Sus scrofa: one gene and its partner. The protein of the gene in region 1 interacts with the protein of each later gene in a pairwise test. Links are inferred from orthologs where the notes say so. Each region holds a gene or a part of one and is shown in the gene's direction. Other genes may lie near its edges. The genes, in order: FAM92A and CBY1.

Region 1 (3,818 bases):
TGAGACCAGAAAATAAAAGACAGTCTATATATAAATGCATTCAATGTATACATAAAAATACTCAGTCATAGCAATGTACAATATTTGCCAGCACAGGCCCTTAAAATTCATCTGACTATTCAAAAAAAGCTCATTAAAGGTCAATATGTAAAATAAAACAGGAGTTCCCATCGTGGCTCAGGGGAAACGAATCTAACTAGTATCCATGAGGACAAAGGTTTGATCCCTGGCTTCGCTCAGTGGGTTAAGGATTTGGCATTGCTGTGAGCTGTGGCAGGGGTTACAGACGAGTCTCAGACCCCACATTGCTGTGGCTCTGGCATAGGCCAGCAGCTGTAGCAGCCTGGGAACTTCTATATGCCGTAGGTGCAGCCCTAAAAAAGCAAGAAAAAAGGAAAAAAGAAAAACACACCAATCTGGCTCACTCTTTTATAAGCCATTTTGCACTTGTAACTAATTTTCATTAGGGTAAAGTCCTTATTAGGACTTTATTCACAAAAATGTACCATAATATTTTAATCAAAAGTATTTCCTACCCAAATTGGTATATTAAGAGGATTTTAAAGAATTTTCAACAAAAGGAAGAAATAGAAATCTCTATCCACTTTTCTAAAAATAGCTTGTAACTTTGGGTGAGTTGCTATGCAGGAGTGAAAGGATTTGAGACTTTAAGAAATGAATAGTAGTTGCTAGACAGTGACAGAAAATTAAGATACACTGTTCCAGCTGTGGTTTCTGCTTCCCTGCTCTTCCCTAGTTTAGCCAACTCTACTTACTGTTCCAGATTTTAAAATCAAACTGTCAGGAAATTGGCAGGGAAAAGATATGTCAAAACTAAGTAGTCACAGTGAAGAATTTCATGAGTCATATGTAATGAACAGTATTAGAAAAATAGTCTGCTTGAATATTCTCGTTAGTAAAACGTTAACATGCATAATACCTGTTAGTAATTTTTTCATATTAATCTTGAGAGAAGCTCTGTTTTACTTTAGAATTTTCTGTGATAAAGTTGTATTTTTAAAAATCCAAAGCCCAGTATATAGAGAATTGTTTTTATTACAGGTTATGATTAAAAGTTAAAAGTTTGCATAGTTTTAAGAAAACTTTACCCCCTATATAGCAAATGTACACACATAGAGGTATATATAAATATGTTTAAATGCTTAGTTTAGAGTTCTCTGGTGGCTCAGTGGGTTAGGGATCTGGCATTGTCACTGCTAGGGCTCTTGTTATAGCTGTTGCATGGGTTCAATCCCTGGCCTTGGAACTTCTGCATGCCACGGGCATAGCCCCAAACAAATAAATGCTTAGTTTCTTGAAATTGTGTATCTGAATTAACCTAGTTTTAAGAGTATATATACAGTATGAAGTTATGGTTAATATATAACCTATATACAAGATTATATAATTCTATGAGCATATGATTTTAATTTATTGGAAAATTGTTCTCTTTGAAATGTATTTTTTCCTTTATGAAAAACTTCAGTCACAGGTGTGTAATAAAGTGATGTGTCAAGAGATGGATCCCTATAGTAAACTCTTTTACTTATTTCAATTTATACATTTTCTTGAAAAAGAGCTTAAATGTCATTATGTGTGACAAAACTTACTGCAACTGCAAATTTTTTCCTGTTCGTTAGCTATTAAAATGATGACATGATACTTTTGAGTAAACACAATACTAGCATAGGAAATAAAACTTTATTGTAAAGAACTGAATCAGAAAATTGGGCCATGTTTTAAAATGTATATTATTGTTTAACAAAAATCTTGAAATGTTTTTGGGCAACTATTATCCTTAAGGAAGAGATGATTTTTTTAAAAAATACATGATTATATTGGAAATATTCTACCCTTTATAGTAGCGTGGCCACTAGCCATATATATGTCGGTTGAGCTCTTGAGATGCAACTAGAGTAGCCAGTTTTTAATTTTTCATTTAATTATAATTAATTTAAATGCAGATTGCTACATGTGGCTGGTGGCCACCATATTGATTATATGACACAGATCTGGATAATATGAGTACTTTGAAGCAAAGCATTATAATTGCCATCGAATTTATTAGTTACTGGTGCGCATATATATTTTGTAGTAAGTACTAACTAAATAGTAATAGTGTAGCAGTAGCTTATAAAAAGAATATACAAATAGAAACCCTATGCTGAAATAAATATTTGTAGTGTATATTCTACTCTACCTGCTCTAGAAAATTGAAAATACTTAAGTTACAGGTCTTTTCGTTTGAGGGGAGGAAAGGTTAAAGGGAAGAGAGATAGTATAAAAAGGAGAGTATGATAAACGGCAGTGACAGTAAAATAGGTGAAAGCACTGGAAAATGTAGAAAATTGTTTTACAGTAAATCATCCAAGGGTGATATGGGGGGAAATGATTTTATGTAAATAAAAGGGAAGACTTTTGTTTCTTTTTGTTTGAGATCATGAATCTAATGGATTTAAAGTTCTTTATTCTGCATGTGGTTGCTTATTCTGACATTTTATTTTACGTAGTAAAATACATTCTTTAATGATGTACACTGTTGTGGCAAAAAGCCAATGCTGCAGTGGTAGCATTTACAAAAACAGAGTGAAATGATTTGTGACTTTCTGATTTTTTTTTTTTTTTTAAATATCTTTGGTTGGGGAATACTTTTGTAGGCAGAAACTGAATTACAGAGAGCTACCATGGATGCTACCCGAACAACTCGCCATCTGGAGGAAACTATTGACAGTTTTGAAAAGCAGAAAATAAAGGATATAAAGGTAACAAATTAACAATTAAAGTTCAAAATATGTTTTCTAATCTTATTTAAATATGTGATAGATTTAAATTATTGGTTGTTTTTAGCCCATAAACAGTCTGTGTGAAAAAGATGTAAATAAAAATATATAAAATGATATTTTTAAGGAAACAATGGCATATAAAGGGGCCACATTCCCAGTCAGAAGCCAGATATTCACGTTATCAAAAATACTATTTAATCAAAGGAAACTAACATTTATTATGTTTTTATGTATCAGGCCTTATTCCAGGCACTTTACACAAATTATCTTTTCATCTCTACAGCAACTCCATCAGAGTGAGGTGGTATAATCCATATATTATGTCTTAAAAAATTAAGCAGAGATATGAAGTAACTTTCCTGAATCATAGCCAAAAATCCCAAAAATCTGAACTATAAACCACTTATGTAATTTTTACATCTGTGCTTTCCATTATAATACACTAACATTAATTTTTATAACTTAAAGCTCTCAAATACATATTATCAAATAGGATAAGAGTAGCTAACCACACACACCTGCATCTGTGATTATATGATGTCACAAGCAGCATTGCCTTATTTTAGTGTATCACATCAGTAGACCTTCAGGATCATGGACTTGAGACGGTCTTTTCAGGATCATGGACTTTTTAATTGGCATCTTGGAAAGATTTAGAGAATTACTTATGCCCATGCTATATCCTTCCAAATAAGTCATCCAAGGATGACTGCAAATTTTCCTGGAACAGCCTTTCTTTTGTCATTTTACAACTATTAGCAAAGAAAACTTTCACTTAAATAAATTATTCCTCTCTACAATCCATGGAACAACATTCATTTGCTCTTTTATTGTTTTAAACTTCCTATCATAGTTTCATAAGATTTCAGAAGTCTGACTTTTCTGATGGCCAAGCTCAAAGGTCTCCATTTCAGTTCTGAAGATCAAGAAAAATTTTTTTGGAGTTCCCGTTGTGGCAAGGAGAAAACAAATCCATCTAGGAACCATGAGGTTGCAGGTTTGATTCCTGGCCTTGGGCAGTGGGTTAAGGATCCA
Region 2 (4,528 bases), on another chromosome or scaffold:
ACAGCTGAGCAACAACAGGAACTCCTTTTTGATTGTTTGTTTTCTCTTTTTAGGGCCACACCTGCAGCATATGGAAGTTCCTAAGGCAAGGGGTCAAATCAGAGGTGTAGCCTCTGGTCTACACCACAGCCACAGCAACACCAGATCTGAGCCACATCTGCGACCGACACCACAGCTCATGGCAATGCTGGATCCCTGACCCACTGAGTGAGGCCAGGGATTGAACATGCATCCTCATAGATACTAGTCAGATTTGTTTCTGCTGAGCCACGGCAGGAACTCCAGTTTGTTTGCTTGTTTTTAAGTCCATGGATTTAAAGCTGTCGGGCTAGGCTTGTAGGGTGATGAAATGTTCTATATCCTGATCTGGAAGGTGGCAACAGGGGTGTGTGTGTGCACATCTAATGAAAACTCATGAAGCCAGAGATATTATTTGTATTCTTTTTTTATACATTATATATTTGTGTTCTACTTAAACATACAAAAAAGTTTGCTTCTCCGCCCATGGGCAGTGTCAGTAAATCAACTTAATTGGGCCTGTGTGAATTGCACCAGGTTGCGATATGCTGAAGGCAGCTGTCTGGCTGCCGTTGTCAGCCCTGCCATGTTGCGGGTCTCCTCCTCCCACCACTCACCTTACCTCCCATTCAGGACAGGTAGTCTTCTCACATGTGGACTGAGTGAGGGGCACTGTTATCAGTCTGAAAGCAAAGTATAACTATGGCTTCATTTCTTTAAGATGGAGTATATGGTGAAGCTGTTGCCCCAGGTGTGATTCTTACCAGTGTCCAGGAAGGAGTAGGATTGCATGCCTCGCTCCAGACTATAAGCCTGGCAAGGCCAGTTTGTGACAAAACTTAAGCCAGGTAGGCAGGTGTCTGTGGTTAACGTAACCCGTAGAGCCACACAGACCTGTGTTCGAATACTGGCTCCTGGAATTCCCGTCATGGCTCAGTGGAAGCAAATCTGACTGGTATCCATGAGGACGCAGGTTCAATCCCTGGCCTCACTCAGTGGGTTAAGGATCCGGCGTTGCCGTGAGCTGTGGTGTAGGCTGGTGGATACAGCTCTAGTTCAACCCTGACTCTGGGAGCCTCCATATGCCACAAGGGTGGCCCTAAAAAGCAAAATCAAAACAAAACAAATACTGGCTCCCATTTAGGACTTTAGTCTTGTCTAAACTTCACTTGTCAAATAGGCATAAAAAGAGGAGCTGAACAACAGCTGGTTGTGAGGGCCGAGCCATTGGGAAGGTCTTGGCGGGCTGCCCAGCACGTAGTGAGCACTCAGCACGTGGGAGCGAGCACCAGGATTATTAACGGCCGTGTGATAAGATGTGTGTATTCATGATTTGAAGACAGGGACACAAGGTCATGACCAACTCTTTGTATCCTTGACTTTTTTCCTGACCCTAGGAGGAGGGAGCATTGACCTTTCCTTCATCAAGCCAAAGATGCCTCTCTTTGGGAGTACGTTCAGTCCGAAGAAGACGCCCCCTCGGAAGTCCGCCTCGCTCTCCAACCTGCATAATGTGAGTGTCAGCCTGGCGTGCAGTGTGCCTGGAGCATCGAGCCTGGTCTCTTACGGAAAGTGTGGTCCTCGGGAGGCATCCTCGTGGGAAGGTGTCCTTTTAAATCATGTTATTGCTATTTTTATTTATGTATTTATTTACTGGCAGCTCCCACGGCATGTGGAAATTCCCAGGCCAGGGATAGAACCCACACCACAGCAGTGACAATGCCAGATCCTTAACCCGCTGCACCACCAGGGAACTCCCTGTTATTGCTATTCTTAAACTCTTATTTGGGAATTATTGTCAGAGCTTGTTCAAGAACATTAAAAGATAGTCGATTTCATTATGATTTTTTGGGTCCAAATGAGATTATCAAGTTTGACTTGGCTCTATTCCCAAGACTTGGCCTGGAATCAGTTTTAGTCATGTCTAAGAGTCAACTTGCTTCTCAAAGGATGATGTTTTGCCAACATTGCTAGCATTCAAAAGGATATGCCACAGCTCCAAAGGCAGTTTCCGAGCCCCTCAAGGGCAGAGGAGTTACATTCATCTCTGAATGTTCAGTGCCAGTCTGGTGCAGCGTGGGTGCTCAGTGACCTGTAGAAACATTGGAAATCACATTCAAGAGCAGCTGCTGCTGCTCGTTGGGCCTTAGCGTTTTATGTCTTTTCCACGACATGTGTAGCTCCATGGTAAGCAAATGAGAGCGTCTTACATTTAAAAGGGCTTTTCCACTTTATTATAAATTTGCAATAGGACTTCTTAATCCATTAAATGCTCTGTAGATACAATTCAGTTTGCAACTTTCAGCATGTATAGCTTTTCCAGAAAGCATCTATTGCATAAAGTGTACATTTCTTCTCTTCTGGCTTAAAGACATTTTTGTACCTTATTTGATTTTCTGACTTAAAAAAAAAATTATGAAATGTGCTGAGTAATGATTAGAGAAAAGAAATGAGTTGTTGGGGTCATGCAGCGAGTAGAGGAGGCACGGGGCCTAGAGCCCATGTGCTGTAGCCTCCAGCATGAGCGTCTCACCCACAGTTGGATCGTTCAACCCGGGAGGTGGAGCTGGGCCTTGACTACGGAACCCCCACTATGAACCTGGCGGGGCAAAGCCTGAAGTTTGAAAATGGCCAGTGGATAGCAGGTGGGCTGCATTTCCTGCCACTTTGTCCCACAAGATCGTGGAAAGAAACCCCACCTTGTAACTGCTGGTTCTCTCCTTCCACCAGAGTCGGGGATTAGTGGAGGCGTGGACCGGAGGGAGGCTCAGCGCCTCCGGAGGCGGAACCAGCAGTTGGAGGAAGAGAACAATCTCTTACGGCTCAAGGTGGACATCCTGCTAGACATGGTGAGGAAGGTGATGGGAAGGGCCGCCTCGGCTTTCCTTGCGCAGGATCCTTGCGAGTCCTTTCAGGCAGCTCATACCTCTTGAGTGCCAGTTTGCCCAGGTACATCGCTGTGAATCCAGAGATACAAAACCACATCGAAGTCCCTACCCTCAAGGGCTCATCATGTACCTGAGAGATAGCGAACAGATTGACAGGGCCTCGTGATGAGGGGCCATGCTTAGAGTCTGTTCATGGCCCCACGTCAGCACACACACGAGAGAGAGAGAGAGAGAGAGAGAGAGAGATTTATTCTGTGCAGGCAGGAGGACATCACAGGGAAGGGATATTTGAGCTGAATGTGGAAAGATAAAGGTAGCGATGGAGGCTGGGATGAAGGCATTCAGGAAAGACATTCTGCTCCTGGCTTGAAGAGGTCTCGCACCAAGCAGCCATTAGTCAGCGCCCCGAGCAGGCCTGCCAAGGGACCCTCTCTGTGCCGCCATCAGTTTCGTTTCGTGTGGATTTTAAAAACCCAGCACCCCGTTGAGCCTAGAGGTGTATGTGAAGGTTGGCTGAGAGGCAGGGAGCCCACGAGGTAGTGGTCTGGCGCTCAACTGCCTGCATTCCCTTGCCCAGCTCTACCCTTGGCTGTGTGACTTCAGGCACGTTGCTCAACTGCTCTGTGTGAAGAAACATCTTCAGGAATAAAATGGGCATGATAGGAGGCGCTACCTCAGTAGTGAGTTAATGCAAGTACAGCCCTTCATGTCGCTGTTCATGACACGAAGAGTGTCATGCTCAGAAAGTAGAACTCTCTCACAGGAAACTGACCTCTAGAAGTTATATCTCTCTGTCCCTATCTGGCGTGTCTTCTACCCTCTGCTCTAAAATCCACTGAAAGGGAGTTCCCATTGTGGCTCAGCTGGTTAAGAACCTGAGTAGTGTCCTTGAGGATGCGGGTTTGATCCCTGGCCTTGCTCAGTGGGCTAAAGATCTGGTGTTGCTGCAAGCTGCAGTGTAGTTTGCAGGTACAGATCGGATCCTGTGTTGCTGTAGCTGTGCTGTAGGCCGGCAACTGCAGCTCTGATTCAACCCCTAGCCTGGGAACTTCCAGGTCCTGGTGCCCTTAAAAAAAAAAAAAAAAAAATTCACTGAAAGATCCTGATGAGGAAAGTAGCATTCTTTTTCAAGCATTTTTCCCCCAATCACCGTTATTTGACCCATGACTCAAGCAACTCAGACCCTAGTCCTTTAAAAATCACCAATATCTGCCTTTTTCATCCCCTGAAACCTCGTGTCCTTAACACAGTGAGTGCCACACAATCTTAGTGCCACAAAGTGTTGATCAAATGGATGGTGAATGTTCTTCAAGTGCTTGAGGTCCTGGGTGGTTCAGGAGGTTTCCTCTCTGCCCAGTTACAAAAGGGTTCCCGTCGTGGAGGCTGCTGGCAGCATTAGAGAACTGCCAGGGGGCCTCCCTTTCCCAGCGGGCAGTGCTGGCCTTGCCACCCCGAAACGTAGCCCAGAAACATCCTTCCTAACGGTCTGCTGCTTTCCCTCCAGCTCTCCGAGACCACTGCCGAATCCCACTTAATGGAGAAGGAGCTGGATGAACTGAAGGGTGTCAGTCAGCGGAGAAAATGAAGACCCCACAGACCTCGGTTAGGACAAAAGGGAGAAA

The links.
Region 2: the proteins of FAM92A (region 1) and CBY1 interact in binary tests that used the Homo sapiens proteins (3 or more experiments, as listed by UniProt). The two-hybrid records come from large-scale screens. The link is inferred for Sus scrofa from reciprocal best matches to the Homo sapiens genes CIBAR1 and CBY1.

Annotation. Positions count from the first base shown.
Region 1 is NC_010446.5:42,975,170-42,978,987, reverse strand, and holds part of FAM92A (protein FAM92A1), read left to right. Parts: intron 1-1,486; coding exon 1,487-1,492; intron 1,493-2,657; coding exon 2,658-2,762; intron 2,763-3,818. UniProt on the Homo sapiens protein: Plays a critical role in regulating mitochondrial ultrastructure and function by maintaining the integrity of mitochondrial morphology, particularly the organization of cristae.
Region 2 is NC_010447.5:9,348,236-9,352,763, reverse strand, and holds the start of CBY1 (protein chibby homolog 1), read left to right. Parts: upstream 1-1,436; 5' UTR 1,437-1,453; coding exon 1,454-1,531; intron 1,532-2,557; coding exon 2,558-2,663; intron 2,664-2,748; coding exon 2,749-2,867; intron 2,868-4,410; coding exon 4,411-4,491; 3' UTR 4,492-4,528. UniProt on the Homo sapiens protein: Inhibits the Wnt/Wingless pathway by binding to CTNNB1/beta-catenin and inhibiting beta-catenin-mediated transcriptional activation through competition with TCF/LEF transcription factors.